Linked DNA regions of Caenorhabditis elegans. The protein of the gene in region 1 purifies or fractionates together with the protein of each later gene. This does not show direct contact. Each region holds a gene or a part of one and is shown in the gene's direction. Other genes may lie near its edges.

What was found. Proteins that work in one complex are often made in the same cells at the same time.
Region 2: the proteins of C41H7.2 (region 1) and C46C2.2 fractionate together in Caenorhabditis elegans (co-fractionation; one large-scale study listed by BioGRID). This does not show direct contact.

What each region holds. Positions count from the first base shown.
Region 1 is NC_003280.10:3,012,420-3,018,604, forward strand, and holds C41H7.2 (AT-rich interactive domain-containing protein 2), read left to right. Parts: upstream 1-2,397; 5' UTR 2,398-2,415; coding exon 2,416-2,586; intron 2,587-3,420; coding exon 3,421-3,666; intron 3,667-3,941; coding exon 3,942-4,168; intron 4,169-4,213; coding exon 4,214-4,306; intron 4,307-4,351; coding exon 4,352-4,561; intron 4,562-4,607; coding exon 4,608-4,688; intron 4,689-4,765; coding exon of another isoform or gene 4,766-4,781; exon of another isoform or gene 4,782-4,784; intron 4,785-4,928; coding exon 4,929-5,052; 3' UTR 5,053-5,095; downstream 5,096-6,185. Other genes in the region: clec-3 (C-type LECtin), read right to left, coding at 5,107-5,888.
Region 2 is NC_003282.8:9,215,632-9,221,476, forward strand, and holds C46C2.2 (Major facilitator superfamily (MFS) profile domain-containing protein), read left to right. Parts: upstream 1-2,094; 5' UTR 2,095-2,122; coding exon 2,123-2,267; intron 2,268-2,486; coding exon 2,487-2,947; intron 2,948-2,998; coding exon 2,999-3,215; intron 3,216-3,273; coding exon 3,274-3,385; intron 3,386-3,431; coding exon 3,432-3,546; intron 3,547-3,899; coding exon 3,900-4,193; intron 4,194-4,276; coding exon 4,277-4,431; intron 4,432-4,478; coding exon 4,479-4,542; 3' UTR 4,543-4,766; downstream 4,767-5,845.

The sequences.
Region 1 (6,185 bases):
TTGTTCGATTTTAAGGATATTGCAAAACAAATCAAAAACTTGATCAACTAGAGCTACAGCTAAACTTGCACATTGAGAACATCAATTGTTAAGTTGCAAATTCGATTTTTTGGCGATGCATCAGGGGTGGTGTGGCAGACAATTTTTTCTGGCAAGCGGCAAATTTGGCAATTGCTGAAATAGAAAAATTTTGGCACAGTCGGCAAATTGCCGATTTATCGAATTCGCCGAAAATTTTCGGCAAACCGCCAATTTGCCGATTTGCCGAAATTGCCGGAAAAAGAAATTGAAAATTGGAAAAGTGAAATTGTGGGCTTGCACTTTTTTCTGGAAGGTTCAGAATTTTAATTTTGAACGACAAAATTGTACACATGATATAAATGACTTTTTTTTCAAAGAAAACGGGGAAAAAATTCCAAAAAGGCGCCGTTTTAAGTGTATCCGTCTTCCGGAAAATTGTCAGATTTTTAAATTTCTGACAAATCGGCAAACCGGCAAGGTGTCGGATTTCAAAATTCCGGCAAATTCCAGCAAGTTTGCAATTTTCGCAAATTCCTGTAAACCGGCAAACCAGTAAAAAACTGGAAAAAAAATCCGGTAAACCGCAAATCGGCAATTTGTCCAAAATTGCCGGAAATAAATTTACAATTTTATTTCTTATTCCAATAATGCGCTTTGTATGAATGACCACAACTTTTCAATTTAAATTTGAAGGTAGGCAAATAGGCAGATAGGTTAGAGAAATTTCTCCATTTCTTCAAAAGTTGTTTTTCCAGAATGGCAAAATGAAATTTCCAAAAGAAATAAACAAAGAGCGTATTTTCTCGTACTTTTCATTAATCTTGGCTCTGGCTTTTCGTCTTTTTATGGGAGCCTGGGCCCGTGATTTTTGTGCTCATTTTAGTAGGAGGCTGCTCTTCTTGAGCTTTCGTAGTAGGCAGCCAATTTTTCAGGCAGCCTGTCTATTTCCTACCGCTAACTTTTGTTTCTCAGCTTGTCTTGGTAGTTTGATCGGAGACAGGCGAGCTGGGGAAAAAATGTCGATTGCCCTATGACCCAACGCAAAGCAATTCTCCCTCGTTCATCACCAACACCGTCTTCGATATCAACATTTTCCGATTAAGAGCAGCCCCGTCCAGACAGATCTTCATTACAATTTATTTTAAATTTCCCTTTCATCCTGATCTTGTCCTCCTGAGAAGGCTGTAATATTTTTTTTTAATTTCCCGTGTTTTTTTTTTGAAATTTTCAATATCCCGTATCCAATCCAGATTGTCGAAATTTCCTCGATTTTTCAATTTTCTTTTCTTTTTGTGGGGCAATTTTTGCAGTTTCTTGTCAGTTTTCATTAGCTAAATCTTTAGTTTCCAAATTTTCATTAAAAATGAAATTCCATCAATATTTTTTCACTTTTTTTCATTAAGTTTTGTCTTTTTTGGTACTTTCTCGGCCTTTTTTATGGGATTTTCTGAACCGACTTTGGAATGATTCTTTTTCTGGTTTTTTTTGTTGTTTTTCCTTTTTTTCTGGATTTTCAGTAATTTCTGGTAAATTCTTTTTTTCTCCCCCCCCCCCTCCTCCCCAGTCCCATATAGGCCTAGTCCTAAGCCTGAGCCTAAGCCTAAACCTAAGCCTACGCCTAAGCCTAAACCTAAGCCTACGCAAAACCTAAGCCTAAGCATAAGACTAAGCTTAAGCCTAAGCCCAAGCCTAAGCCCAAGTCTAAGCCTAACACTAAACCTAACCGTGAGTCCGAGCCTTAGCCTTAGCCTAAGTTTGAGCCTAAGCCTAAGCCTAAGCCTAAGCCTAAGCCTAAACCTAATCCTGATCCTAAGCCTATGCCTAAATAAGTTTTTTTTGATAATTGGTAATTTTACTACCCATATAAATGGTTTTTAAACATTTTCCCACTCCACCGATAAAGAAAAAATAGAGTAAAAACTCGGGCCAATCAGCGACGTCGACCACGCCCCCTGTACTTCGCTGATTGGTCGCGGGAACATTTCTGCAAAAACCCAAAATTTTATCATTTTTCCAGAGTCTAACTAATGTTTGCATTTTAACTTTGCATTTTTTTTCATTTTTTTTTCATCTTCTCCCTTCACTCCCGTTCTTTTCTATTTGCTTTGCCACTTTTGTTTCAAATTTTTCGCTCGAAACGGTTTTTTGAGAAAAATTTCACTATTTCTTCCATTTTTTAGGTGATAAGGTTCACCCGACTGCTATCAATTTGGCGGTTGCCGTTTAAAAAAATTGATAAGTCGAACAGCAATTCTTATCATTTCTGACCTCATTAATACTCCAACCACACTTTTTTTTGTACGTTTCTTTTTTTTTTAATTTTTAAAGAATTTTTGGCTTAACTTTAATTAATTTTTTTTCTAAATGACTGAAAAATTTCAGATCGGGGAAAAAATGTCCCAAGAGCAGCTCGCGGAGCAATCCCGACGAGAATTTCAATATCAAATGCAGATGCTCCAGCAGCGCGTCTTGCAGCAAGGGCAGGCTTGGCCAATGCCGGGAGCTCAGCAGCTCCAACAAATGCTCCTGGCTCAGCAATTCATGATGCAGCAGTTTCGGGCTCAGGTACGTTTGAAATTTTAAAAGTTAAATTTGAGAATTTTTTGAAATTTTTTAAAATTCAGTTTCATTTAAATTTCCCCAACTTACCCAATTTCCCCAGTAAATTTCCCCAATTTCCCCAGTAAAACATTTTGTTTTAAAAGTTTTGAATTGTTTTTTGAATTTTTTAAAAAGATTTTTTCATTCATATGGAAATGTCAGTCTGACACTGTATTTTTTGAAAGTTTACTGACATTTTTCTGATTTTTTATTTTTTTTGGCAAACTGAATTTTTTCAAAATTTCAGCAAAGATTATTCAAATTTTTTTTTAATTTTCTCGATTGGCAAGAATAAGCCTAAGCCCACATCTAATGCTAAGCCTATACCAAGGCCTCGGCTTAAGCCAAAGCCTACGCCTAAGCCAAAGCCTGAACCTAGGCCTAAGCTTGAGCCTAAGCCTACGCTTAAGCCTAAGCCTAAGCCTAAGCCTAAGCGTTAGTCCAAACGAAATATAATTGAAGTTGAAAAAAAAATCAAAAAAATGATCCGATAAGTTTGGAAATATACAATTTTCTCAGCAAAAAAAAATTAAAATTTCTGAAATTTCTACGACTTTGCTTTAATTTGAAAATGAGCTGATTTTTTTTATTTTTAGAAAAAAAATCTGAACTTTTCTAGATTTCTCGAATCGCTTCAAATGAAAACTTCAGTCCAAACTTTAAAAATTTTTATTATTATTTTTTGCAACACTAGAAAAGTTGGGAAATATTCAGATTTTTGCGTCGTTTTGAAAATTTCCAAAGATTTCTTCCTTACTGGAGCTTTTAAAATTTCTCAATTTCAAAAAAAATTTCCAGCAACTCCCCGCATCCTTCCAACTCGATCCAGCTGCTCCACAGCTTGTCAAAGCTCCGGTGAAGAAAACGAGGCGCCGAAAAACCACCGAAAAGCCCAAACCACCGCAGCCTACAATATCTAAAGAAGCACCAGAAAATCCCAAAACTTACAAAACGTACCAAGTCCCTCAATTTGAGCGTGGTGAGACCCTTCGGCACTATTTGGCGTGTATGATTGCAAATCTACCAATGGACAAGCGTCAGGAGGTAAGGGGGTCATTTGTGGTTCCACGTGGTGTCAGGCTGGTCCATCACGGTTTGATCTACAAAAAATGCGGGAACTTTGTCATGAAAAATGTGACGTCAGCACGTTTTTAACCATACGAAATCAGTTTCTCGCAATTATCGCAAATCTAAGTAGATCAAACCCAAATGGGGTAGCCTGACGTGGTCCCAACTAGTCCAGGTACCCGATCATGGGGTCTTGTACACCTGGGTACCCATGACCAAGGATCCTCATAGATCACAGTTTGTCTTTTCAGAGCCTCTCCCCATGCCCCACAGCTTCCCGTCAATCTTCCCACAGCATTGCCTCAATTTTGAACCTGGAACCCCCCAGCGACATCTCCATAGCCTTAGCAATTCTCAAGGAGCACGAGACCTCCGTTGACTTGTGCAGGATCTCAGATTCAGTGATGGCGGCGTTGAAGCTGGAGCCAACGGTTGCGGAGCCCGAGGCTCCTAGAGCTTCGATGGGGAGTCGGAAGAGGTTAGTTGATCCTGAAGAAGCCCACTAAAACGGATTTTTTTTCAGAAAAAGTACCCCGACGAGAAAGTTATCCGGACAATTTGAGGATGCTTTGATGGAAATTGTGGACGCACCTCCAGTCAAATGCTCGAAGAGCCAGTAAGATCCTCCTCAAAAGATTTGCTAAAAATCCAGAAATTTCAGAGCCAAAAGTTCTCAAAAGCTCAACCAACTTCTAGATTCTCTAATGGAAAGAGCTAGCTCATTTCAAGCTGCTGAGCCCCAAGCTGCCGAGCCCCAAGCTGCTGTGCCCATAGCTACTGAGCCCCAGGAAAACTCAGAGTTCGAGCAGTTTTTGAAGTCCGCCATGGAGATTGCCCGTTCTTCTGAGAGTTCCGTCTCACCAGAAAATGGGTCAGTTTCAGCCCTTCGAAACCCGAAAAAAAAATTGAAATTCCAGAGACGAGAGGCATCTTGCAAATGTTCGGGAAGAAATCGGCGGGCTCCCGGTGGAAAATCAAGAGCAGGAATCTAAAAAACAGTGAGTAGCTGGCTAGTCCAGTAATATGTCGGCTGCACTTAGCACTTCATTCAATTTATCGTAATTAACTAATTCAGACAAATTGAGCTATAATATGTAAGTATATGCCTTCCGGGAAACCCATTAAATGTCGGCTGCAAACTTAGCCACCCCTCTTTTTTTACCCTTATGATGTTGTAAATGTCTTTCTTCCCACTCTTGACCTCCAGTCCAAAATCTTTTCAAGCTATTTTCTTTCAGGCCGGATGAGCACTTTGATGGAGCCCTAATGGAGGCGAAAATCCTGCGGGTTCTGAATCGCATGACTCCGGAGCAAGGAGCACTCATGGAGAGAGCATTTTATAATACTTTATTAACAGTTTAAGCGTTTTTTTCATATATTTTATTAATGAAACTTTTATTTAAAATTCATTAGAATTTAAGTAGAATACGCCACAAAAGTGGCACTGAATCCTTTGAAGACATTCCTCGAATCTGTTGCGAACGTGACGAAGAAGTTATTTCCTTTTGAAATCAAGTGGAATGGCTCACGAGATCCACTATAAGTTCCAATTTTCAGCCCATTTGTTGATTCCCCGTCGTATACCGTAACCAGATCGACATTCTCCTCTGTTGAGAAGGATGTAAATTCAAGGAGGATGTTGTAGGATCCCAAGGTGGAGAGCTTGTAGCTGCAGTACACGTTATTGTCATAGTTTTGTGGGTAATTTGGTGATGTTATAATTCCGGGGGTCATCAGGACAGTAGAGTTGCAGAATGACTCATTTGATGGGACAGGTGTCACTGTGACCTTCGGCTGGTCTGTGGAGCATGGCACCCCGGCAGGCCGCTTACAGAAGAAGCTGGACAGACCTTCGCAATCAACACCGAACCATTGTCCCAAATTATATTCCGATGTTCCATTATTCGCCATGGCAATACACCGATTCTTCGGATTATAAACTGAGTCGATATTACTGTAGTCCCACATAGTTCCATCCACCCAGGTGTTCATGTGATCCATAGGCCACATGCCTCCAATAAGAACGTTATCGGAAGCTCTATGGCTGGCTATGTTCATGAGATAACGGTTCTCGTTAGCTGAGTGGATTGAGACTAGGTTTCCGCATTCCTCCTCGCAGATTGCCTGAGCGGTTGTGAAGGATGACTGGTTATGGGAGAAGGTGTAGCAATAGTTGTTGTAGTTGTAGTAGCAGGGATCTGGAAGAAATGAACAGTTAGGGGCCTTGGCTGCTTTTTTCCGACTGTCGGCTGGACAAACTTGGCCGAATTTTAGCAAAATTGGCAAAATTCTTAAGTTGAATTTTTTATATATGTAAATTTTAACCAGTCGAAAACCGACAAACATTATTAGTCGGCTGTCAGGCAGCCGAAAACCTTCAATACCAGTCTAAAGCAGTGGTATGCCGCAAATTTGCCGGTTTGCCGATTTGCCGGAAAATTTAATTTTCTGCAAATTGCCGATTCGCCGGATATCAATTTGCCGGAAGTTTTAGA
Region 2 (5,845 bases), on another chromosome or scaffold:
GTTTCATTTAATTTTGGTATTGGTTAAGCAGATTTTTTCCGGAAAAAACGACACACCAAGATTGTGATAACTTGGCATTCCACCATCTATATTAATTCAAACCACATTACTAGTGAAACTTATTTGATTTTTCTTTCAAAAATTGTACTTGTTTGGTATTTCGCCCCTCAGTTGCACTCATTCCACTTGAAAAGTTTCCAAAAAACGTTCAAGGTCGAACGAAATTTCCGAAAAATAATTCACATTTTTTACGATTCACAACTATTATTTTTTGTCATATTACTTGCCCTTTTCCATTTCAGTTTGCATCCTTCAAAATGTATTTCTATGGCCAAAAGATTCTGACGTCATCAGTATTTTCGTCGTGCCGTTTTTGATGTGCTCCGGCTCTTTTGCTTACTACTTTTTTCTTGAGAAACGTGCAGTTTTCTGTTTTTGCTAGGGATTAGAAAACATATATGTTATCTGGTTCCAGACTTCTCCTTATTTGAAGAGATTAACTTTCTGAAATTGTTGGGATTTCCAATTGTCGGTAATTCAAATCTAAGCAGTTTCTGAAATCACCGATTACTGGAACATTTAGATCTCCGCAAATCTCTAGTTACAAATAGGTTTGGAACGACAATTTCACATGAAGCAACATTCTGGACATTTTAATGAAAAACTAGGCAGACTTATACTTTCAGAAAATAGCGTTGAGCACACAGCGCAAACTTTCACAATTCAATCGTTTCCCACCCTTTCAATAAAATAACAAAAAATCCGAAAAATTCCTCGACCTATCTCTTATCTTTCTATTATTTTTCTCAATCTGCAGTGGTTTTTGATGTTCCGCCCTCTTCCGTTTGTCCTCACGCACACAATGACACGTATTCCTCTCGGACTCTCTCCCATTTTTGCTTCTGCTCACATATCTGAACTACTTGCGCGGACCGAGTCAACGAGTGAGTGTACGAGATTGAGAGTGGACCAGACATTGACAGAAGGCCATTTGAACGTAGAGATAGTGGATGTTCGGTTAGAAACGCAGACAGTTATGATGGTTACTACTGAGCCTCTCTAACCCCCTCGGTTTTCCGTTCATTTGCGATGCCCACGTGCCGTTTTAAACACATCCTTTTTTGCTGCTTTGTATGACCTATAATCTTTAGTAAATGTATACATTTCAATGTAATATTTACTTGAGGGCAGGAACCAAACCAAAAAATTATTTCTTTGAAGTAATTTAATTTTCATTAAATTAACTGCACACTTTTAAAATCGTTGCATACTTTCTGATAAAGCACATGGAAACTTTGAAAACATTGACGATATTTACAGATTTTACAGTTACGAAAGTTGAACACATTTTTGTATTCTCCATTTATGCATTTTTCCACTTCTCATTGTTCTCCGAAAAAGAAAGAATAGTGTAAGTAACACGAGCTTGACCTCAACATATGCTGGGCGCCCGTAGAAATGACGCAATTCTTTAGATCTCTGCGCTCCCGTTTCACTGCTCTCCGCCTGGCTACTGCCACCACGTTTATTTCTTATCGCTATTTCAAGTGTTCGTCATATTTTTTATGTGATTTTTAGTTTATTCTGTCGTGTGACTTTTCTAAAACAAATTTTTGGCACAACTTGCATCATTGCAGAATTTGCAAAATTTGTGGTTGGCGTCATTTTATAGATCGTTACGACAAGAAAGTTTTTGATTTCAGATTTAGACTGGAATATGTAGCTACTTTTTGATTAAGTCTTTCCACAAGAACAAATTTTCACATAAATATTTGATGATGTTGTTGTTTGCCCAAATATCAGAGAAATGCTTAATATTTCAATGTCCTTCCCTTCAAACTTACATGTATTTATTCCTAAATAACTAACCGATTTCCTGATCTTATTTAAAAAGACCAAAACTCTCATTTTTCTGTACGACTGAACCAGTAGATGATTTTGCCAAAAAATTCGATGATAAATGGCTATCATCTTAGACTCTGCTGTTTCTCGTTCTTATCTTGTAAACAAGTATCAGGTCACTCCTTGTTTTTATTCCCTTCTTCTCTTTAGAATCGAAAATATTTTCAAAAATCTTTAAAATTAATATTTCAGTTCAACTCAACTCCACTAACCTATCACAATGCACATCATTCCACCCGGTATCTACCGGGTAGATGTGCTCATTTTGATCTCATACCAAATGTGCCATTTCTTCTCAATTCAGCAACTGTTTCCCATTTTCCTGAACTACACTCCAAAGACAAACTGCATCCAGACTGCCCAAGGTAAAAAAACTGAAGAGAACAGCGAAAAAAACTGAAGTAAACCAGCGCCTTGGACCGCTCGGCCATCTCTCCGCACGAGAACTAGCTTTGAAAATGACAATTTTGAATAAATGAGAAGAGTGACTGCAGCTGCAGCACTTGAGAGATAGATCGCTCGTCAACACCTGTGGTTTTCTCGCTGAAGTCTCCATAGAAAGTATCTTGCAATTATTTTTTCAGGAAAAGTATGCTACGATGTTCCAAAATCCAAGTGCCTCGAGTACAATGAAAATTTCCCTAACCTTTGCGCCAATTTGACTGGAACAGCTCTTTCGGATTGCCACACAGAGAAATCACATTCTTATTATTCATCCGCCGCTATGGAATTCGAAATTTACTGTCGTCCCGGATGGAAGGATTTCCGTCCAGCTTTTGTTCAATACGTTGGCGTACTCATCGGAAATATTATTCTCGGATATGTAGCTGATCAAATTGGCCGAAAGAAGACTTTTATTCTGTCAATGCTCATTGGAATTCCATCACTTTCACTCTCAGCCACATTCAATTCCATTGCCGCATTCTACATTTTCCGCGCTTTAACTGGAATCGGAATCGCTGGAACAATGATTGTCGGATGGGCTTATTTTTCCGAGTTGGTATCGCCACATCAGAGATTTAAGCTCCGAACATTCAGTAACTGGGTAAATAGTTTCATTCTAGAATGTCTGCAATTTACCTAATCAATTTTTCAGGCAAATGCACGTATAATGCTAACTTTGGTAGCCTTATTCACTGGAGAATGGCGTCTATCATCTCATGTATCTGCTGTTATTTCTCTTATCACTCTTGCGATCGTCTATTTTATTCTTCCTGAATCTCACATTTGGCTCCGTAAAAAAGGACGTTATGAGGAGGCAGAAGTGAGCCGAAAAAGGATTGCTGATCTCGCTGGAATCGAATTTGTTCCAAGTATGAAAACTGTATTTTTCAGAAATTGTTGTTTTTTCTAACTTTTCAATTCTTTCAGTGCCACCACCAGAGAAAGCTGCGGACAACGTTGAGCCAGAAAAGGCCGTCAATATTTGCACAGTATTCGCTGATCCTCAACTTCGCAAGAATATTCTGATTCTTTGGCTCATGTAATTTCACATTTTAAATTTTTCTTAGGAAAACTTAAATTTTCAGGTGGTTCGTAACTGGAATGACCGCTTATTTGACCGATTTGTGTGGAGGAGATATGACAAAGAACTTCTGGGTTGGACAATTCCTTTCTGGAATTTTGCTTTCAGTTGTGAGAATCGTAAGTTGAAATATTAACCAGACACGAAATTCTACGATTTTGGCCTCAAAAATACGGTGCCGGGTCTCGAAACGCATGTAAAGATTACTGTAGTTTCAAACTTTTGTTGAGGCTGAATTTTTATCGGCTTTTCATACTTTTTCGAAATCAGAAAGACAAAAAATATGAACAAATTGTGAGAAAAACTTAAAAAATCCCTGAAAATTACGCAGAACAAGATATTGAAAGTTACAGTAATCTTTATAGGCGCACATCTGTTTGTATTTTACAAAAAAATGTTTCGAGACTGGGTACTGTATGTACAAAACTCCCCGTCTGGGTAAATTTTTCAATTTAATGAATACATTTTCTAGATCATGGGCTTCGCTGACGGCTACCTTCCATGGATGGGACGCCGTTTCGTACTTCTATGCTCTCAATCTCTTGCTATTGTCTTCTTCGGATGTGTCATTGCCTTCTTGTTTGCCGGAGAAAAGGGGCAATGGTATTACACGGCAGTCTATTTGGCATCATTCGTGTTCACATCAATTGTTTGGGAACCATGCTACTTGTGTGCTTCTGAGCTCATGCCAACAGATGTTCGTGCCACGTCAACTGCTTCATGCTCAATCGTAGGAAGATTCGCCAACATTGGAGCATCTATGCTGGTTAGTTTTCATTACAGATCTTAGGAAATTATCTTGAATTTTACATTTTAAAACCTAAAATATTTAAATTTCTTAAATTACAGAGTGGTCTCAAAACCGTCTACGAGCCAGGAGTACATATGATCTCAATCAGTCTCGGTCTTACCAATGTGGTAGCCGCCTACTTCTTCCTTCAGGAAACCAAGAATTGTAGTTTGGACAAGGCTGGAACATCTGCAGCAAAGCCAGCTGAAAAGGCGTATGTTTTATTATAGGAAATACACTTTTAATTCTTTAATTTTTCAGTAACGAGCAAGAAATGAAGGATCTCATCAACAAAGGCGAGGAAGAAGACGTCGAGAAGAAATAAAGCATCCGTCGGATTGAAATTTATTTGTTTGATTCAAAATTATCTTACCTCGTTCAATTTTATCCTCTCCTTTTTCATCTCTTTCCAGTATTTTGTTATTTTGTTCCAGTTTTTTTTTGAATTCAGAGGCAACCCACACAGCATAATCAACTCGCACCTCTATTCACTGTCCATTTTTTTTTCTTGAATAGTTTGAAAAACTCAATAAACAAAATTAAATAATTAATTCAGCTGAATGTGTTTCACAAGTGTACAACAGCTTCCGAAAGCTTTCAAACTAGATCTTCCTACATAAAATCTCAAAACTATAGGCCGAAGTTTTCTATACGAAATATAGCAAAGACCACTCAAGTTGCGCTCATTCTGCAAAAACAACACAACATTTGAAATATTTAAGAAAACAGAACGATAATAAATAACCCTTTTTCATATCCAACAAACTGGTCTCACCACCATTCATGAAGCCACGTAGAAGAAAATCTCCCAACTTAAACAAGGATTTCAGGAAGAGATGTGCAAAGAAGAGGCCGGCCCAGGAACCTTCTGGATCCATAACCTATAACATAGGTTGCATTCGAACTATTAAATTGACACAGAAGTGCTTAATTTAAAAGAGTAGATTTGGCTTAATCTGTCAGAGAAGCCAAAATCTCAACTTTTTCAGTCACATTCAAATAATTGATAAAATTGACAAAACCCTATTTGTGCCGAAAATCTTCCACGTGGCACATTTTCTCATTTATTCCACTCAATGAGCCACGCGGAATCAAGCTTTCGGGCACTAGGATTCTCACACACACACACAACTCAAGTTCAGCAAATATCATCGTGTTTTTCATATTTCAAAAAATTCAACCGTGGTGTTTGGGTAATTTCTAGAAACTGCAAATATTTCTTGTTTTTTTTACAGCTTCTTCGGGAAAAAACATCTTATCATTGGGGATCAACAGTCATCAAAAAACTATTCTCAAAAAACGAAGGTCTTTGAGCGTCCTCCCACTCGTTTTTTGGGAAGCTAAGCAAAATTATTGTCTGGTCATTTGTGTAATTTGTATTATTTTATGAAAATTTATAACAATCATTCGTGAAAAATGGCTGTTTTTAGGCAAAATTTTCACAACAGACAATTTTTACTTTTTTGAAAGGAAAGAGTCCGAGCATAAGTTGCCACAAAAAATACCTATTCGCTCGGGATTAGCTATTTTGAGTGTCCATAGTCTTGATGATTATACAGGGTGGGCCAAAAGTATGGTAACACATGAAGCGCTCTTTTACATGAGCTTTTCGCGCGACTGCCACGTCA